3 linked regions of the Xenopus tropicalis genome follow. The protein of the gene in region 3 purifies or fractionates together with the protein of the main gene of each other region. This does not show direct contact. Links are inferred from orthologs where the notes say so. Each region holds a gene or a part of one and is shown on either strand. Other genes may lie near its edges.

Region 1 (6,400 bases), on a different chromosome or scaffold from region 3:
GGGAGCAATAACCCCCATGCAGTCTATAACATTCCCCTCCCCAGCAAGAGATGCGCAGGGAGCAATAACCCCCATGCAGTCTATAACATTCCCCTCCCCAGCAAGAGATGCGCAGAGAGCAATAACCCCCATGCAGTCTATAACGTTCCCCTCCCCAGCAAGAGATGCGCAGGGAGCAATAACCCCCATGCAGTCTATAACATTCCCCTCCCCAGCAAGAGATGCGCAGGGAGCAATAACCCCCATGCAGTCTATAACATTCCCCTCCCCAGCAAGAGATGTGCAGGGAGCAATAACCCCCATGCAGTCTATAACGTTCCCCTCCCCAGCAAGAGATGCGCAGGGCAGGGAGCAATAACCCCCATGCAGTCTATAACATTCCCCTCCCCAGCAAGAGATGCGCAGGGAGCAATAACCCCCATGCAGTCTATAACATTCCCCTCCCCAGCAAGAGATGTGCAGGGAGCAATAACCCCCATGCAGTCTATAACGTTCCCCTCCCCAGCAAGAGATGCGCAGGTCAGGGAGCAATAACCCCCATGCAGTCTATAACATTCCCCTCCCCAGCAAGAGATGCGCAGGGAGCAATAACCCCCATGCAGTCTATAACATTCCCCTCCCCAGCAAGAGATGCGCAGGGAGCAATAACCCCCATGCAGTCTATAACATTCCCCTCCCCAGCAAGAGATGCGCAGAGAGCAATAACCCCCATGCAGTCTATAACGTTCCCCTCCCCAGCAAGAGATGCGCAGGGCAGGGAGCAATAACCCCCATGCAGTCTATAACATTCCCCTCCCCAGCAAGAGATGCGCAGGGAGCAATAACCCCCATGCAGTCTATAACATTCCCCTCCCCAGCAAGAGATGTGCAGGGAGCAATAACCCCCATGCAGTCTATAACGTTCCCCTCCCCAGCAAGAGATGCGCAGGGCAGGGAGCAATAACCCCCATGCAGTCTATAACATTCCCCTCCCCAGCAAGAGATGCGCAGGGAGCAATAACCCCCATGCAGTCTATAACATTCCCCTCCCCAGCAAGAGATGCGCAGGGAGCAATAACCCCCATGCAGTCTATAACATTCCCCTCCCCAGCAAGAGATGCGCAGAGAGCAATAACCCCCATGCAGTCTATAACATTCCCCTCCCCAGCAAGAGATGCGCAGGGAGCAATAACCCCCATGCAGTCTATAACATTCCCCTCCCCAGCAAGAGATGTGCAGGGAGCAATAACCCCCATGCAGTCTATAACGTTCCCCTCCCCAGCAAGAGATGCGCAGGTCAGGGAGCAATAACCCCCATGCAGTCTATAACATTCCCCTCCCCAGCAAGAGATGCGCAGGGAGCAATAACCCCCATGCAGTCTATAACATTCCCCTCCCCAGCAAGAGATGCGCAGGGAGCAATAACCCCCATGCAGTCTATAACATTCCCCTCCCCAGCAAGAGATGCGCAGGGAGCAATAACCCCCATGCAGTCTATAACATTCCCCTCCCCAGCAAGAGATGCGCAGAGAGCAATAACCCCCATGCAGTCTATAACATTCCCCTCCCCAGCAAGAGATGTGCAGAGAGCAATAACCCCCATGCAGTCTATAACATTCCCCTCCCCAGCAAGAGATGCGCAGGGAGCAATAACCCCCATGCAGTCTATAACATTCCCCTCCCCAGCAAGAGATGCGCAGGGAGCAATAACCCCCATGCAGTCTATAACATTCCCCTCCCCAGCAAGAGATGCGCAGAGAGCAATAACCCCCATGCAGTCTATAACATTCCCCTCCCCAGCAAGAGATGCGCAGGTCAGGGAGCAATAACCCCCATGCAGTCTATAACATTCCCCTCCCCAGCAAGAGATGCGCAGGTCAGGAAGCAATAACCCCCATGCAGTCTATAACATTCCCCTCCCCAGCAAGAGATGCGCAGGGAGCAATAACCCCCATGCAGTCTATAACATTCCCCTCCCCAGCAAGAGATGCGCAGGGAGCAATAACCCCCATGCAGTCTATAACATTCCCCTCCCCAGCAAGAGATGCGCAGAGAGCAATAACCCCCATGCAGTCTATAACATTCCCCTCCCCAGCAAGAGATGCGCAGAGAGCAATAACCCCCATGCAGTCTATAACACTGTATCACAGAACCATCCCGGTGCCCCAGTCCCTTACTGTCACTGCCTGCATTCTACTCTATGGCCGCCAGGGGCGCACGGTTACCAGTTTGACAGAACACAGGAAGTACGTCATCCACCTGCGCCGGGCGCGACAGAAGGAAAAGCAAAGCGCTCCCGGGAGTTTGGGACCCGGATACCGGGCGGGATGGACGCGGAGTTTTTCATGGGGGGGGCGGGAGGGATTATTGGGGACTGGGAGGACAGGGGAATGGTACGTACTGGGGTTACTGGGAGAGGCGCTGGGTGAGGGGCAGAGAGACGGGAATGAGAGACATATTGGGGGCAGATATTTTGGGGAGAAACGGGGGGGGCGGGATACAGGGATTGGGCACCGGCAGGGGGAGAGGGAGGGGGTTTTAGGGGGGCTTCAGAGTTGAGGTTAGGCTGGGGTTGGGGTACATATATATTGGGGTTGGGGTACATATATATTGGGGGGGAGGCAGGACAGGGGTTGGGGTACATATATATTGGGGTTGGGGTACATATATATTGGGGGGAGGCAGGCTGGGGTTGGGGTACATATATATTGGGGTTGGGGTACATATATATTGGGGGGGAGGCAGGACAGGGGTTGGGGTACATATATATTGGGGTTGGGGTACATATATATTGGGGTTGGGGTACATATATATTGGGGGGGAGGCAGGACAGGGGTTGGGGTACATATATATTGGGGCTGGGGTACATATATATTGGGGTTGGGGTACATATATATTGGGGGGGAGGCAGGACAGGGGTTGGGGTACATATATATAGGGGTACATATATATTGGGGCTGGGGTACATACTGTATATACTGGGGTACATATATATTGGGGCTGGGGTACATATATATAGGGGTACATATATATATTGGGGCTGGGGTACATACTGTATATACTGGGGTACATATATATTGGGGTACATATAATGGGGTTGGGCGCAGTTCTCACACAGAATTCTTGCCGTTCCAGGATGAAGACTATGGGGAAGGGGAGGATGATGGGGAGGTGCAACAGGAGTGTTTGCGGAAATTCACCACCCGGGATTATATCATGGAACCTGCTGTTTTCAACACACTGAAGAGGTGAGAGGCGCAGGGGCCCCCCAGGCTTCTGTGAGGAATGGGGGGGGGGGGGACAGAACCAAAGGGCAGAGGACAGGGAGCCGGGATGGGAATACACAGGGGGGAGTAGAGCCCAGAGGGTGGGGGAACCCAGAACAACTCCCAGATTGTCAGTGGGGTGGTGGGAGTTGCAGTTCACACAGCCTGAAACCCTCCTGTTACATTAAGTTGTTGCGTGTGAATTCCAGGTACTTCCAGTCGGGGGGGTCCCCAGAAAATGTCATCCAGCTCCTGTCGGAGAATTACAGCGCCGTGGCGCAGACTGTGAATCTGCTGGCGGAATGGCTCATCCACTCGGGTACAGACATTTATTTATTCCGACCCCCCTACTCGTAATTCCAGCCTCTCGTTCATACTGACTTGTTACTATTTCTAGCATCTTTGCAATTGGTCTTCATTTTTTATTTTATTTTTATAGTTATAGAATTATTTGCCTTCATTTCCAGCTATCAAATGGGGGTCACTGACCCCGGCAACCTGAATACTCTCTGCTCTGTGAGGCTCCAGTTTTATTGTTATTATTACTTTTTGTAACTTTATTTTCTAGTCAGTCCCTCTCCTATTCATATACGAGTCTCTTATCCAAACCTCTCCCTGGTTGCTAAGTTAAACACAACCCTAGCGACCAAATAGCTGCTGAAACATGAGTCCTGAATTGAAAATGAAATAACTAAAAAACTACAAATAATAAAAAATTGCAATTGCAAATTGTCTCAGAATATTCAATATACGTCCTTGCCACCCTTGGCCGGGTTAGTTTCCATCAAAGGAAACTGTAGGAATGGCACTGGTGAGTATTCTGGATAAGGGGTGAGCTTTGTGTGTATCCCCCCAAATACCTGTGTGTGATTGGCTGCAGGTGTGGAGCCCGCGCAGGTACAAGAGACGGTGGAAAACCATCTGAAGAGTTTACTGATCAAACACTTCGACCCAAGGAAAGCCGACTCCATCTTTACAGAGGAAGGAGAGGTAACAGGGATGTTCCGCGGGTTGGGGGGGCTAGAGAGTAGATTTGGGGGTACATTCTTTGCTCATTGTGCGCAGACGCCGGCCTGGCTGGAGCAGATGATCGCCCACACCACATGGAGAGATCTGTTCTACAAACTGGCAGAGGCCCATCCCGACTGCCTGATGCTGAACTTCACTGTCAAGGTGGGTACATACGGCTGGGCCCCCCCAGTCACCCCGAGTCTGAGCAACTCCTACTGCGCAGCCTTTGTGTATGAGATCTCCCAAGCCCTTTATTATAGGGGTGGTTCCCCTTTAAGATAACGTTTAGTATGTTATAGAATGACCTGTTCCTAGCAGCTTTGCAATTGGTCTTCATTATTTATTTTTTATAGTTATTGAATTATTTGCCTTCATTGTGCAGCTTTCACACAGGGGTCGCTGACCCCGGCAGCCAAAACCTATTGCTCCAGTTTTATTGTTATTGTTACTTTTTATCCCATATCTTTCTATTCAGCCCCTCCCCTATTTATATTCCAGTGTCTCATTCACACCACTGCCTAGTTGCTAAGGTAAACATGACCCTAGCAACCAGATAGCTGCTGAAAGTCCTTCTCTGGACCCTCAAAACTGTGCTTTGTGCTTCACATATTTTTTTTCCCATTTTGCAGCTGATCTCGGATGCCGGGTACCAGGGGGAAATCACCAGCGTCTCCACGGCGTGCCAGCAGCTGGAAGTCTTCTCCAGGGTCCTCCGTACTTCCCTGGCAACGATCCTGGATGGGGGAGAAGAGAACTTGGAGAAAAACCTCCCCGAATTCGCAGTACATACGTTTAAACCATTTGCGCCACATGGGGGGGGGGGGTGCTGCGCAGATGTAACGTGTGTTACGTGTGTTACGTGTGTTACGTGTGTAACGTGTGTAACGTGTGTTACGTGTGTAACCTGTGTAACCTGTGTAACGTGTGTAACCTGTGTAACCTGTGTTACGTGTGTAACCTGTGTAACGTGTGTAACGTGTGTAACGTGTGTAACCTGTGTAACGTGTGTAACGTGTGTAACGTGTGTTACGTGTGTTACGTGTGTAACCTGTGTAACGTGTGTAACGTGTGTAACGTGTGTAACGTGTGTAACGTGTGTAACGTGTGTAACGTGTGTAACGTGTGTAACGTGTGTAACGTGTTTCTGTGCCCCGCAGAAGATGGTGTGTCACGGAGAGCACACGTACTTGTTCGCTCAGGCCATCATGTCCATCCTGTCGCAGGAGGAGCAGGGGGGGTCGGCCATGAGAAGGATCGCACAAGAGGTCCAGAGATTTGCACATGAAAAGTAAGAGCAATGAGTGCATCCCCTGCTGCCCAATGAAAGGCCATTTATATAACGGGGTACAGCAAGAAAAGGGGGAACTTGTGCTCCCCACTAAACTATAAACCAGTAGGTGGGGGGGCAATGAGGCTGTGACCACAGAATTAATATAAACAACAACAAGAGCCCCTCTGCCCTCCCCCATTATCAATATATATAGGGCATTAACCCATTCTGTGCATTAAGCTGCCGAGAAATGCCCTCCCCTTTATACAGGGATTGTTTGTCCTTATATTGTAATATATTCCAGCTGCCCAACTGGGTCACACTCACCTCCAGTCTGGCCTGTCCTACACTCACTCACCCCCGGTCTGGCCTGTCCTACACTCACTCACCCCCGGTCTGGCCTGTCCTACACTCACTCACCCCCGGTCTGGCCTACACTCACTCACCCCCGGTCTGGCCTGTCCTACACTCACTCACCCCCGGTCTGGCCTGTCCTACACTCACTCACCCCCGGTCTGGCCAGTCCTACACTCACTCACCCCCGGTCTGGCCTACACTCACATCACCCCCCAGTCTGGCCAGTCCTACACTCACTCACCCCCGGTCTGGCCTGTCCTACACTCACTCACCCCGGTCTGGCCTACACTCACTCCACCCCCGCGTCTGGCCCTGTCCCACACTCACTCACCCCGGTCTTGGCCTACCTCACATCCACCCCCGGTCTGGCCTGTCCTACACTCACTACCCCCGGTTCCTGGCCTGTCCTACAGCTCACTCACCCCCGGTCTGGCCTGTCCTACACTCAACTCACGGCCCCGGTCTGGCCTGTCCCTACACTCACTGCACCGCGCCGGTCTGGCCAGTCCTAACACTC
Region 2 (6,416 bases), on a different chromosome or scaffold from region 3:
CAAAAAAAAAGTAATGTAAAGTACTAAAATGTAAAAATGTGTAGTAAGTGTGTAGTAAGTGTGTAGTAAGTGAGTAGTAAGTGTGTAATGTAAAAGCAAAGGGACTACCCGAGGGCAGGCACAGCAAATCTCACAGCCAAGGACCGCAGGAGAACAGCAGCACACAGCAGGAGGGCTCCAGCAACATCCAGGACCAGCAGAGAGGCAGAGGGCGGCGCTGGGGGGCTGAGTTTAAATACCCCAGCAGCAGGCACATGTCTATGACGTAGCCGCTGCTCTGGGGTCCTTCTTGGGGTCATCTGACGCAACAGCGTCACTTCCAGCCCCCAGCGCTCGTTGCCTAGGGGATCCTGCAGCGATCGGCGGCTTTTGAAAGAGGAAGAAGCCGCCGATCAGTATCCACATGGCCAGAAGCAGGAAGACGTACAAGGTACGTCGCTGGCACTCAGTGCATTGCCTTGCCAACACGTACGCCGTACGGTGTTGGCAGGCAAAGGGTTAAGGTGCCCATACACGTGAAGATCTGCTCGCTTGGCGATCTTCTCCCGATAACCCACCTACGGGTGGGCGATATCGGGGAACATGTAGGCTAATTCGATCGTTTGGCCCTGGGCGGCAATGGGGCAGTCGGTTCGGGGACCGCATCAACGAGTTTTCTGCAGAAAAGTTAGTGTAACTTGGCAAATATACTGTAAAGAGCACACAGTGTTCTAGGAATATTTGTCAGGGCACCAAGTCAATTAGTATTGTCTTGGGCACCAATACAACCTGGCTCAGCAAAGCAAAATCCCTTCAGACACCATGCTAAGCAAACCTTCATCAAATATGAGAACCAAATTACCTGTATAGGTATAGGAACTATTATACCAGCTGCCCCCATACATCAGAGCCGTCAACCCTGACAGACTATCTCCCAGGGGACTGTTAGTGGGCGCAGCATGGCGCTGATCCAGTATGGACATGTGCAATGTGATTGCGACTGCGCACAATGTGACTGACGTCACGTAATGCTCACTGTGTAGCTATTTCGAAAGACTCCTGGTAGTCTGGGGTGCTTGACACCTGTGCTGCCAGGACATTTAAATACTGAGGTTTTTTTCTCTATCAACATTCAATTCAAGTTCAATTCATTTCTTATTATTACAGAAATAAAAACCAAATTTCAGAGCTTTCTGGATAACTGGTATAACAGAACCCATACAATTAAAGGATGGGACTTACTCGTCAGGTAGAATATAGATAAAACTAGGGATGCCAATTGAGTTGCCAACTAGGGATGTCAATTGAGCTGCCAAGTGGCAACTGATGCCAATGTTATTAATAGGAAAAAAAGCTTAAAATATAAGAACCATTAAAAAAACTGAACGGAATTCCAGCCAATTGCAAGTGTTGCAGTAACCGCACCCTGGCATCATAACCCCACCCAACGTGCCTGACCCTGAGGTCATCATGCCCACCCCACCAACTGCCCCACCCTCAATACCATCAGCCCCACCCCCTTTGTTCGGGTTTAGCCACTGGCAAAGGTGGCGACCCTAATTGCCACCAATTACATTGCAGGTAAATTTGTAATTCCGTACCCTGGCCCTAGCTGGTGATTTACTGTCTGGGCTGATCAAATTACCGGCCAGGCGCTAAACCCTACTCGAATTTGCTAAAAAGACTTTTTAGCAACAGCCTCCAAAAGGCAGGGATTATCAGACTAATGTGGTTATGTAATAAAAGACATAAAGTTCAGCACTGTTGAAGAAATTCAGAGCAGCCCACTTCATGGTCAACTGTTTGAATACAAACATTTTTGGTTGCTATGGGTAACATCCTACGCAACCTAAGAACCTTTATTATACTACAATATCCATTTTGTGCACCTCAGTACTTGCTCCCAGCACAGCCCTGCCCACCCCCAATGAGAGGGAGCTCAGCACTTCCTGACTGTATGTGGGAACACTGGGGAACCCTGCAGCACCGCAGGTAGTGAGGAATCAAGATGGCAGGGAGAAACAGTGATACATTATGTGGGCACTGGGCAAGTTGGGGTGCTAAGGGTTGTTTGGGTACCCCACAGTGTGTTTGAGGGAGCTGGGACACTGCCATTCATGCATAAAATCTCAGGAATTTGCTGAAAGACTTTTTAGCAACAGCCTTCAAAAGGCAGGGATTATCAGACTAATGTGGTTATGTAATAAAAGACATAAAGTTCAGCACTGTTGAATAAATTCAGAGCAGCCCACTTCATGGTCAACTGTTTGAATACAAATATTTTTGGTTGCTATGGGTAACTTATCCTAAGCAACCTAAGAACCTTTATTATACTACGATATCCATTTTTTGCACCTCAGTACTTGCTCCCAGCACAGCCCTGCCCACCCCCAATGAGAGGGAGCTCAGCACTTCCTGACTGTATGTGGGAACACTGGTGACCAATCAAGATGGCAGGGAGAAACAGTGATACATTATGTGGGCATTGGGCAAGTTGGGGTGCTGAGGGTTGTTTGGGTACCCCACAGTGTGTTTGAGGCAACTGGGACACTGCCATTCATGCATGATATCACAGGAATTTGCTGAAAGACTTTTTAGCAACAGCCTCCAAAAGGCAGGGATTATCAGACTAATGCGGTTATGTAATAAAAGACATAAAGTTCAGCACTGTTGAATAAATTCAGAGCAGCCCACTTCATGGTCAACTGTTTGAACACTAACATTTTTTGGTTGCTATGGCTAACTTATCCTACGCAACCTAAGAACCTTTATTATACATTCTCTTTTTAACGTTAAACCAATCACAAGCGAGTCTCAGCCCGCCTTCCGGGCAGGTATCGCGATAGTACGCTCCGAGACTTCCTGTGACAGGAGTCCCGACCAGCGCCAGAAGGGGTCCTCACGGCCGTGTTTTTAGGTGACTTCATAAAATGCCTGCTCGGGAGCTTTTTTCTTTTTTCCCAAGATGGCGTCTATGAGGGAGAGTGACACCGGCCTGTGGCTTCACAACAAGTTGGGCTCCGCTGACGAGCTGTGGGCGCCCCCGAGTATCGCCTCCTTGCTCACCGCCTCCGTCATAGACAACGTGCGGCTGTGTTTCCATAACTTGTCCTCCGCCGTCAAACTGAAGCTGCTGCTGGGGATCCTGCACCTCCCGCGGCGCACAGTGGATGAGGTGAGTCCCGAACACTTACTCCCTTCTCTGCTGGGACAGTGACAGGCAAAGGAACCCAGTGACAGGCTGACAGAGGACTACGTTTCCCAGCAGCCTTTGCAGTCCAGTAGTTGTGTTTATTATTCCAACGAGGGGGAGCCCTGCGGGGCAGGCAGCTGGTCTCTGCTCCACTACCTTTATCGCTGGAGGCAAAAGGGGGTGTGATACGAATCAACCCAAAATGTCACTTTTTAAAGGGCATAAAAAAGTTTTAAAGAAACTTTCCAATATGTATTGGCTACAGGGGTTTAGGGGTTTTAAAAGTTCTCTGCAACAGTAATTGCCTATAAAAGCAGTGCATGTCTGGCTGTTTATATATCATTATTATTATTATTAACATTTATTTATAAAGCGCCAACATATCCCGCAGCGCTGTACAATAAGTGGGTTACATACATTGGACATACAGAGTAACATATAAAGCAATCAGTAACCGATACAAGAGGGGAAGAGAGATAGATAAATAGATAGATAATAGAAAGATTATTATTATTAACATTGATTTATAAAGCGCCAACATATCCCGCAGCGCTGTACAATAAGTGGGTTCCATACATTGGACATACAGAGTAACATATAAAGCAATCAATAACCGATACAAGAGGTGAAGAGAGATAGATAAATAGATAGATAGATAATAGAAAGATTATTATTATTATTAACATTTATTTATAAAGCACCAACATATCCCGCAGCGCTGTACAATAAGTGGGTTTCATTCATTGGACATACAGAGTAACATATAAAGCAATCAATAACCAATACAAGAGATGAAGAGGGCCCTGCCCAAATAGAGCTTACAATCTACAAGGAGAAAGGGTTGAGACACAAGCTGGGGGGTATATATCACTGCACTGCCAGTTCTGACTTCTAATATTATGTTCAGAAGCTGACTTCTGCTACAATGTGTTAGGAGTCAGAACCAAAGAATATATAAAGGACGGACAGATGCTGCTCTCTGTAGCCATTATATTTACGTATTACTACAATGAATGTACAGGTATGGGATCCTTTATCCAGAAAGTTCCAAATTATGGAAAGGCCTTTTCCCACAGACTCTATTATGAGCAAATAATTCTAATTTTTAAATATGGTTTACTTTTTCTCTGTAATAATTAAAACAGTACCTGTACTTGATCCCAACTAAGATATAATTACGCCTTTTTGGGGGCAGAACAGCCCTATTGGGTTTATTTCATGGTTAAATGATTCCCTTTTCTCTGTAATAATAAAACAGTACCTGTAATTGATCCCAACTAAGATATAATTACCCCTTATTGGGGGCAGAACAGCCCTATTGGGTTTATTTAATATTTAAATGATTTTTAGCAGACTTAAGTTATGGAGATCCAAATTATGGAAAGATCCCTTATCTGGAAAACCGCAGGTCCCGAGCATTCTGGATAACAGGTCCCATACCTGTTACCTCTTGCACTTTTTCTACACTACAGATTCCTTTTGAGCACATGAAAATGATTAAAGGGCAAGTTAACCTCCAGATCACCTCCAGAAGAAGCAGACCCTGTTTGGGGGCCCTAAGCTGAAATTGCTGTGGGGCCCAGTTACACCTGGTTATGCCTCTGATTTTGGTCTGTGTGGCTAAATGATTTGTATTGGTTGTTGTAAAAGTGTTTTCCCTCCCGAGGGACTGATGTGCCAGGGCATGATGAAACTGAGGAAGGAAAGGTTGCAATATTGTACTTTGGGCCTGTTTGGCAAGTTGAATCAATCTACCTTGTCTGCTAAAAGTAATTTATTCATTATTATATGAACCCAATAGGATTGGTTTGCCACCAATATGGGTAAGAACATGATTTTATTTTGCTTAAAGGAGAAGTAAAGGCTAAATCACTGGGGGTGCCAAATGTCAGTGAGACGCTTTGGTTTTTTTCATGCATGATCAGCAAGCCTGTTAAGAAGCCTGCAAGGCATTATGGGAAATGGAGTCTTGGCTGCAGGAGAGCTGACTTCTGTTGCAATAGTCAGCAGTGCCAAAAGGAGCGGAGCCTCTGTCCTGTCTGATTGAAAACATCCAGATTGGTACATGTGTGGGTTCATTGACTCTGCAGATACAATGTGTCACATGACATAGCTGTGTCCTGTGAGAAGAAAGTGTAGATTGCAGTAGAAAATAGAAAATAAAATAAATTCCTCTCTAAAACAGGTATTTTTCTCTTAAGGGGATGTTATTTTTTAATGGAATGATTAACCTGCATATTCTGCCTCTTTCCAACCTGCAGTTGCCCCCCCAGCAACAAAACCAAAAATTGACTGTGAGGCTTCAGTTTTAATGTTATTCTTTGTTTTTACTGCTTATTTGTCATTTGGGGCCATCTACTATTCAGCTTCTATTTTCACTTCCAGGGTGCTTCCTGGTTACTAGGGTCGTTAAGTCATAGCAACCACCCAAATTAAAATCTGAAGTCCCATTTGCTAATTGCCCAAATTAAGGAACAAGTGCTTTGATCTTGCTGGAAGCGCAAAACCTGCTGCGTCGGTAGCTCTATAGATCATATGATGGGCAGCACTGGAAGGGTTAAACCATGCTAGGAGTTATTTATACACAGGAAATTGGTGGCTGATTGAGATATTGTCAGGAAGGAAACGCCAATAAGTAGTTTCTGTGCATGTGGTTAGGTGTCGGGCCGTATAAATGGCGCTCTGTGTGCAAATGAGCTAGTGAGGGGGGATAGGGGGTCAGGGCCATCTGGGTTTAGCCGTGCGTGGTGCCACTTTGCATGAGAGATGGAAATAAAATATTCAATATTTACTGCTGTGCGGCTCAGCGAGGAGCCGAAGTATCAGCCAATGTGCACGTTCCTACAGGTGGGCCCCGGTCTGTTCAGGTCATGGAGCTGCCATTACAGTCACCCTGGCACTAAACTACTGCTCATATGAATGTACGTCATGTTCCCTATAGGTCATGGTGATGGGTTTACTTTTCTACGTAATTGTTAGCTTAAAGGTGAAAACAACCTCTTTAACTAACAAGAGTGATAGTCTGAGACAGTTTGCTCAATTTGGTCTTCATTTTTTTATTATTTGCAGTTTGTCAGTTATTTAACTTTTTGTTTTAGCAGCTCTCCCGGTTATAGGTTCAGCAGCTATCTGGTTGTTAGGGTTGCAAATTACCTTAGCAACCAGGGAGTGGTTTGACTGAGAGACTGGTATATGAATAGGAGGGGGTCTGAATAGAAACAAGTTATAAAAAGTAACAATAATA
Region 3 (5,958 bases):
TCCAGAAGGTCTCAGAGAAAATCACTCTATGAAAGGTAACAAGAAAATTCATGTTTCACAGCATATTTACACACTTGTCATTCACTTGTCTATGAATCTTTTCATTCATCCAGGTCATGATATACAGTATCTAGTAGAATAAAGTCTAAAACAGTTGGACTTTTTCTGACTTTGTTCCGAGTGGCTTCTTTAGTTCAAATGACTGGTAGGGAATATTGGACTGTGCAATAGTTATCAAAGAGGGGGACCTGGATATTGACGTATACAGAAAATCCACCCACAAAGATCAGTACTTGCTGTTTGATTCCCACTACCCTTTGGAACATAAACTGGGTGTTATTAGGACTCTACATCATTGGGCTGAAAATGTGGCATCCTATGCAGAGGCTAAAGAGAAGGAATACAAACATCTAAAAGGAGCACTGAAAACTTGACTGGGCCTTTATCAAACCTAAATTAAAGACAAGCAAAAAGACCAGACCAGCAAACAGAAGGGAGGAACACAGCAGGTGAAGCAATATAGTCAGCCCATATGTTTCTGGAACATCAGAAAAACTTAGGAGAATTTTCAACAAACCTCACATTCCTGTGTATTTCAAACCCAGCAACACTTAAAGTTGGTGCACTCTGAAGACCCTACACCAAAGCACATGAAAAGTAATGTGTTCTATGCTGTCCAGTGTAGTGAATGAAGAGTGCTCTGATTTATACATTGGGGAGACAAAACAACCTCTCTGTAAGGGAATGGCCCAACATAGGAGGGCTAACTACTCAGGTCAAGACTCAGCACTAGTAAAGTGCATATTTTGGAATGAGAGGACAGATGGTTTGAAAGAGGCCATTTATGCTAGCCTGGAAAAACCATCCCTGAACAGAGGAGGGGACCTGCAACACCAATTGTCATCAACATACAATATCGCTTTGACATCCTTACCCCGGCAGTTTCACAACAGTTCACACTTCCAGTCATGTACTTTGAAGGATTAAAACCTGCATCAATGAGAATCATGATACCATTGTAACTGGATCATACCTTCTTACACCTGTGAGTTTCAGCCAACACTTAACTGAAGTTCAATGGAACCATTATGATTGGATTCTCTAGGGTTTAAATGCTGGGGAATTCCCAACCAGTCAATTGAACTAAACCACTCGGATGAGTTTGTGAAAAAACTTAGAAAAAGTCCAGTTGTTTTAGACTTAATTCTACTAGATACTGATTGTTATTGACTTGTGCCAACGTTGGATGCCTCCTTGTGCCAACGTTGGATGCAGCTCTGGCGAGGATGAGATACTATAAACTTCTAATTTGATACATGAGTTGATACATTTTCTTATTTTTTGTCCTGCTGAGAATAGTCCCTCAGATTTATTAATTGATACAATAGTTGCTAATATTCTACAGATGCTGATGTATGAACTAATATAGTAATTAGTTACTAACATAGCAATTGCTAACAGTTCAAAGTATGCACCTGGATTACTGAGCTTCTAGACTTAACCTATCACCCTGTAATTGGTTCCCCCATCAGAGGTGCAGGCTAATAGGCCCAGCATTTTGGTTGGGGAAACCAATGTTTTCCTTTTTTTTTTTTTTTTTTTTTTTAAAATACAGCCCCCGCCATTGCTAGGCTGCCCACACTGAGAGGGAGCTTCCAGAGTGGGTGGCCGCATCGTCTGCTGCGCATGCACATAATGAGTATGTCTCCCCACTCACTCATTATGCGCTTTTGCCTGATGTAGGATTGGTGGATGTGATTCACCCTCCTACGTCACACATGAGTTGCGAGTTTTGGCATCCACTCATTATGCACGTGCGAATGCCACAACATGGCTGCCAGCAGCTATTGTTTCTCTTAATCAGAGTGCAGGCTCTATTAGCCTACACCTTTGGTGGGGTAACAATTTAAGGGGGGTAGGTGTCCTTTAAACACCAGAGAGAGAGAGAGAGAGACAGGAAAGTTTAAACTTCAGTATTAGAAAAAGAGAACAAAGTACAGAGTAAAGATGTATATATTTTTATAAACTACTTCTGTGTTATTCTACACTAATTAGTAGAGATAGCACAATAATTTTCTCTAGTGTGTTGAACTGTGTATAACTATTTAGAAATTTGGCTCATTAGAATGAGTAAATCTTTTAATCCAGATTTATTTTCTTATGTACTTCTTTTGTACCTTTTCCTTCCTAATTTTTTTCCCCCCTCATTCTAGTTTTGTCAGCCCGAGTGAGCGAATGAGAGATCCTGAGAGAGAAAGCGAGGAACGAGAGAGTGAGAGGGATACTCGTCGAGGAGAGAGGGAACTTTTAGAGAGAGAACCTTATGATAGAGATCGTGGAAGAGAGCGAGATCGTGACCGGGACAGAGAACGAGATAGAGACCGAAGTGAGAGAGACCGCGAAAGAGATCGTGAAAGGGACAGAGATGGCTTTTACCGCAGTAATTTGCCACTTTTTTGATTTTTACTGAAGCAGAGGGCTGGAATTATAGCTCTGCTATTCATCTTAGCTTCCCTTTGCCTAACTTCCTTACCAGGTCTTCATTTACTAATGATTTAACCAGTGCCTTTGTCATGCATCCTGTAGGATCAGATTCATTCCCTGAACGTCGGGCTCCAAGGAAAGGTAATACTGTTTATGTTCATGGTGTGGGCATGAACCAGACAATGCTTCGTGAGGCTTTTTCCAGCTTTGGGAACATTATTGATCTTTCTGTGGATGCTCCAAGGAAGTAAGTAGGCACTGTATGGACCTTACTAGTGTGCTTTTAGGCTGGCAACCTTTTAATTTTGGGGGCCTTTTATTCCCAGCTGTGCTTTTGTTACATATGAGAAGATGGAGTCAGCTGACCAGGCTATTTCAGAGGTGAGTTTTGCTGCATGGTTTCCTTTTACTGCCTCCTTTATTCCATTTGATACTGCTATTCTTTGTCATTGTCACTTTGGAGTATTAAACACATAGAACTGAAAAAATGGGATTTTGTTGTTTTTTTTTAAGCCGTTTTTGTTTTCTCAGATTTTTAGAAAATAAAGATTGGGCTCTTTATTTAAACAGCAAGGCTTCTAAAACTGTGCTATGCAGTGTTGTATGCTTCACTAAATGTTTGCTATAATTATCTGCTTGATTGTTTGCTATGATAAGTGTTGGAGGCCTTAAAGGAACAGTAACACCAAAAAATTTAAATGTCTTAAAGTAATTAAAATATAATTTACTGTTACCTAAACTGGTGTGTTTGCTTTAGCAACACTATTATATTTTATATAAATACCCTGCTGTGTAGCTACAGGGGCAGCCATTCAAGCTGGAAAAAAGGAGAAAAGGCACAGTTTTTATAACAGATAAGACACCATTGTATTCTACTGAGTTTATCTGTTATCTGCTATGTAACCTGTGCCCTTTCTCCTTTTGAATGGCTGCTCCCATGGCTACACAGCAGCTTATTTATATAAACTATAGTAGTTTTTCTGAAACAAACACACTACTTTTACCAGTGCAGGGAAATAGTACATAATATAATAATTATTTTGATACACTTTCATTTTTTGGTGTTACTTTTCTTTTAAAAGTATATCAAACAGCTATACTTTGAGAAGTTTAACCTCATGCCCCTATTGGGTCAAATTCCTTGAACCTCTGTAAAATTTGTTCTCACGTCTGAACTGAATTCTTCTTCTTCTAATTCAGCTTAATAACAAGGTGATAGAAGACATACCAGTGAAGGTTAGCATAGCTCGCAAACAGCCTATGTTGGAGGCAGCCACAGGAAAATCAGTTTGGGGTTCATTGGGTAAGTTGTAACTTTATATGTAAATGTTTCTCTTGCAATTTCTCTACAAATATAGTCATAAGGCTGCAGAGCTACATTATGGACTGCTGGTGAAAGGGACAGTACCAGCATGATATTGCTTTTACAAGGCAAGCTGTAGAAGGCAAGAATCTCTGCAAACCTGTAGCACCCGGTGGAGGTGGAATGTGGACTGCCTATTTACACTAAAGGGCAATTCAGAAGTTAATAGTGCAACCACATGGGTGCTCTGACAGCACAGGCAAAACAAAGAAGACTTAACCAATAAGAAAACTGTCCCCTTCTGCCCTGGATTGGTACTTAACATTATATAGTAAAATGTCACAGATTTATCTTCTGTTTTTCTTTTCCTTCACAGCTGTACAGAACAGTGTTAAAGGTTCACACAGAGATAAGAGGTCTCAGGTCAATTACTCTGAAGATTTATTTAGCGATGGTCAAACTGATGCTGATAAAAAGCCAGGATAAAGAGAAGCGAGGAGAAAGAGAATATTAGGGCCCAAGATCTCTATGTGTACATGGTACACATGGTTGAGGATGGTAAATAAAGTGACCGTTGACTATTTAAAGAAACAAGACTGTGCTTATATGCTATGCCCAAGATTTTTTTTTTTTAACTATAATTTAAAATGGCTTTTCAGTTATTTGTGGATATGTAGGTTACTGTTTGCATTGTCCCTTTAAATATGTACTCTACATTCCTGTAATAATGATTTAGTGACTACTTTCTACTAATTGGCTTTATCTCAGTTGTTTTGGGCACATTTACCATCTCAGCATGCATAGAGTATGCCAATAGACACAAGGAAGGTAAATAAAATTACTTGTATAAGGTACAACAGGAGGTATTGGGACCCAAGTTATTTCTTGAGTATCACAGTAATGGTATATGTTTTGTCACATGTAACAGCCTAAATTATAGACAACCTTAATATAACACTTTCCATTTCAAACTGGAGACTTGCTAGAAAAACTCACACACTCAACTATATTTTTCAGATGTGGTTTATCACTTAAGAACATATAAGTATGAGCTCTTCTGCTGTCTCAGCAGCACTGCAGCATGACTTAGAATGTTTCCAACTTGCCAAATTGGAAAAGCTGCTGAGGAGAAGGGTCCTTTGACAGGCATAATTCAGGCAGAAATGACCTTGTCTACATAAGCTGCGCTTGTGCTATTGACCTTTAAAGGATTATACATCTTTGGCCAAGAATGCGGAAATAAGACTAATATCACACTAGGCTTTTTCCCATTATTTGGCACACAATACTTTCTGCCATGGACAATACTTTTAGCCAGTGATCCCCAACCAGTGGCTCGGGGGCAACATGTTGCTCCCCAACCCCTTGGATGTTGCTCTCAGTGCCCCCAAACCAGGGAGTTATTTTTGAATTCCTGACTTGGGGGCAAGTTTTGGTTGAATAAAAACAAGATTTCCTACCAAATAAAGCCCCTGTAAGCTGATAGACTGCATAGAGGCTCCCTAATAGCCAATCACAGCCCTTATTTGGCACCTCCATGAACTTTTATGGTGCTTGTGTTGCTCTCCAAGTCTTTTTACATTCGACTGTGGCTCACGAGTAAGAAAGGTTGGGGATCCCTGCTTTTAGCCATGGACAACTATTATTTTGCAAATGGTTCTACTTTGTACAGATTTGAAGGATGGGATTTTACAAAACCTTTCAGGCATTTCCCAGTCACAAAAAGATTGTATATTGTTCCTCTAAGACTAGAGGTCATTCCTTTATGTTTGTTGTGGGTTGGGTATTTCTGGGTTAAAGAAGGAAAGCATTGGACCACTACTTCTTAGAATAAACTGTGATTTTACTGAGGACAACAATATAATGAAACAACAAGTTGCTGTATATAAAAAGATTGCATCTGCATTCTGAATGCATATGTGAGTTAACTTATGCAGAAGAAAGAACAAAGGCAGAAAATAGAAATGTCAAGTTTTTGTCAAGAAGGACACACTGTCATATCTTGCTTTTGGATGTCGGGCAGGAAGTCCAGCTCATCCCCAATGTGCTTGCGCATCCAAGGCAAGATCTGCATGATATCAATGTAAAAATCTCTGGGTTCAGATCCAGGAGGTGGAAGCTCACGCTGCCCAGGTCGACTGCAGGGATTAAATATTCCAAAACTTAGCACA

Evidence for each region.
Region 1: the proteins of nelfe (region 3) and nelfcd purify together in Homo sapiens (affinity purification with mass spectrometry; 9 studies listed by BioGRID and IntAct, counting the BioPlex papers as one, with this or other methods). This does not show direct contact. The link is inferred for Xenopus tropicalis from reciprocal best matches to the Homo sapiens genes NELFE and NELFCD.
Region 2: the proteins of nelfe (region 3) and nelfa purify together in Homo sapiens (affinity purification with mass spectrometry; 9 studies listed by BioGRID and IntAct, counting the BioPlex papers as one, with this or other methods). This does not show direct contact. The link is inferred for Xenopus tropicalis from reciprocal best matches to the Homo sapiens genes NELFE and NELFA.

The regions. Positions count from the first base shown.
Region 1 is NC_030686.2:3,058,321-3,064,720, forward strand, and holds the start of nelfcd (negative elongation factor C/D), read left to right. Parts: upstream 1-2,258; 5' UTR 2,259-2,306; coding exon 2,307-2,372; intron 2,373-3,114; coding exon 3,115-3,227; intron 3,228-3,454; coding exon 3,455-3,564; intron 3,565-4,125; coding exon 4,126-4,235; intron 4,236-4,310; coding exon 4,311-4,418; intron 4,419-4,885; coding exon 4,886-5,038; intron 5,039-5,413; coding exon 5,414-5,544; intron 5,545-6,400. UniProt on the Homo sapiens protein: Essential component of the NELF complex, a complex that negatively regulates the elongation of transcription by RNA polymerase II.
Region 2 is NC_030677.2:21,139,771-21,146,186, reverse strand, and holds the start of nelfa (negative elongation factor A), read left to right. Parts: upstream 1-2,854; 5' UTR 2,855-2,944; coding exon 2,945-3,154; intron 3,155-6,416. UniProt on the Homo sapiens protein: Essential component of the NELF complex, a complex that negatively regulates the elongation of transcription by RNA polymerase II.
Region 3 is NC_030684.2:74,051,536-74,057,493, reverse strand, and holds the end of nelfe (negative elongation factor E), read left to right. Parts: coding exon 1-35; intron 36-2,213; coding exon 2,214-2,460; 3' UTR 2,461-2,586; coding exon of another isoform or gene 2,587-2,731; 3' UTR 2,732-2,810; coding exon of another isoform or gene 2,811-2,865; 3' UTR 2,866-3,684; coding exon of another isoform or gene 3,685-3,787; 3' UTR 3,788-4,163; coding exon of another isoform or gene 4,164-4,273; 3' UTR 4,274-4,646; downstream 4,647-5,958. Other genes in the region: complement C2, read right to left, coding at 5,766-5,958. UniProt on the Homo sapiens protein: Essential component of the NELF complex, a complex that negatively regulates the elongation of transcription by RNA polymerase II.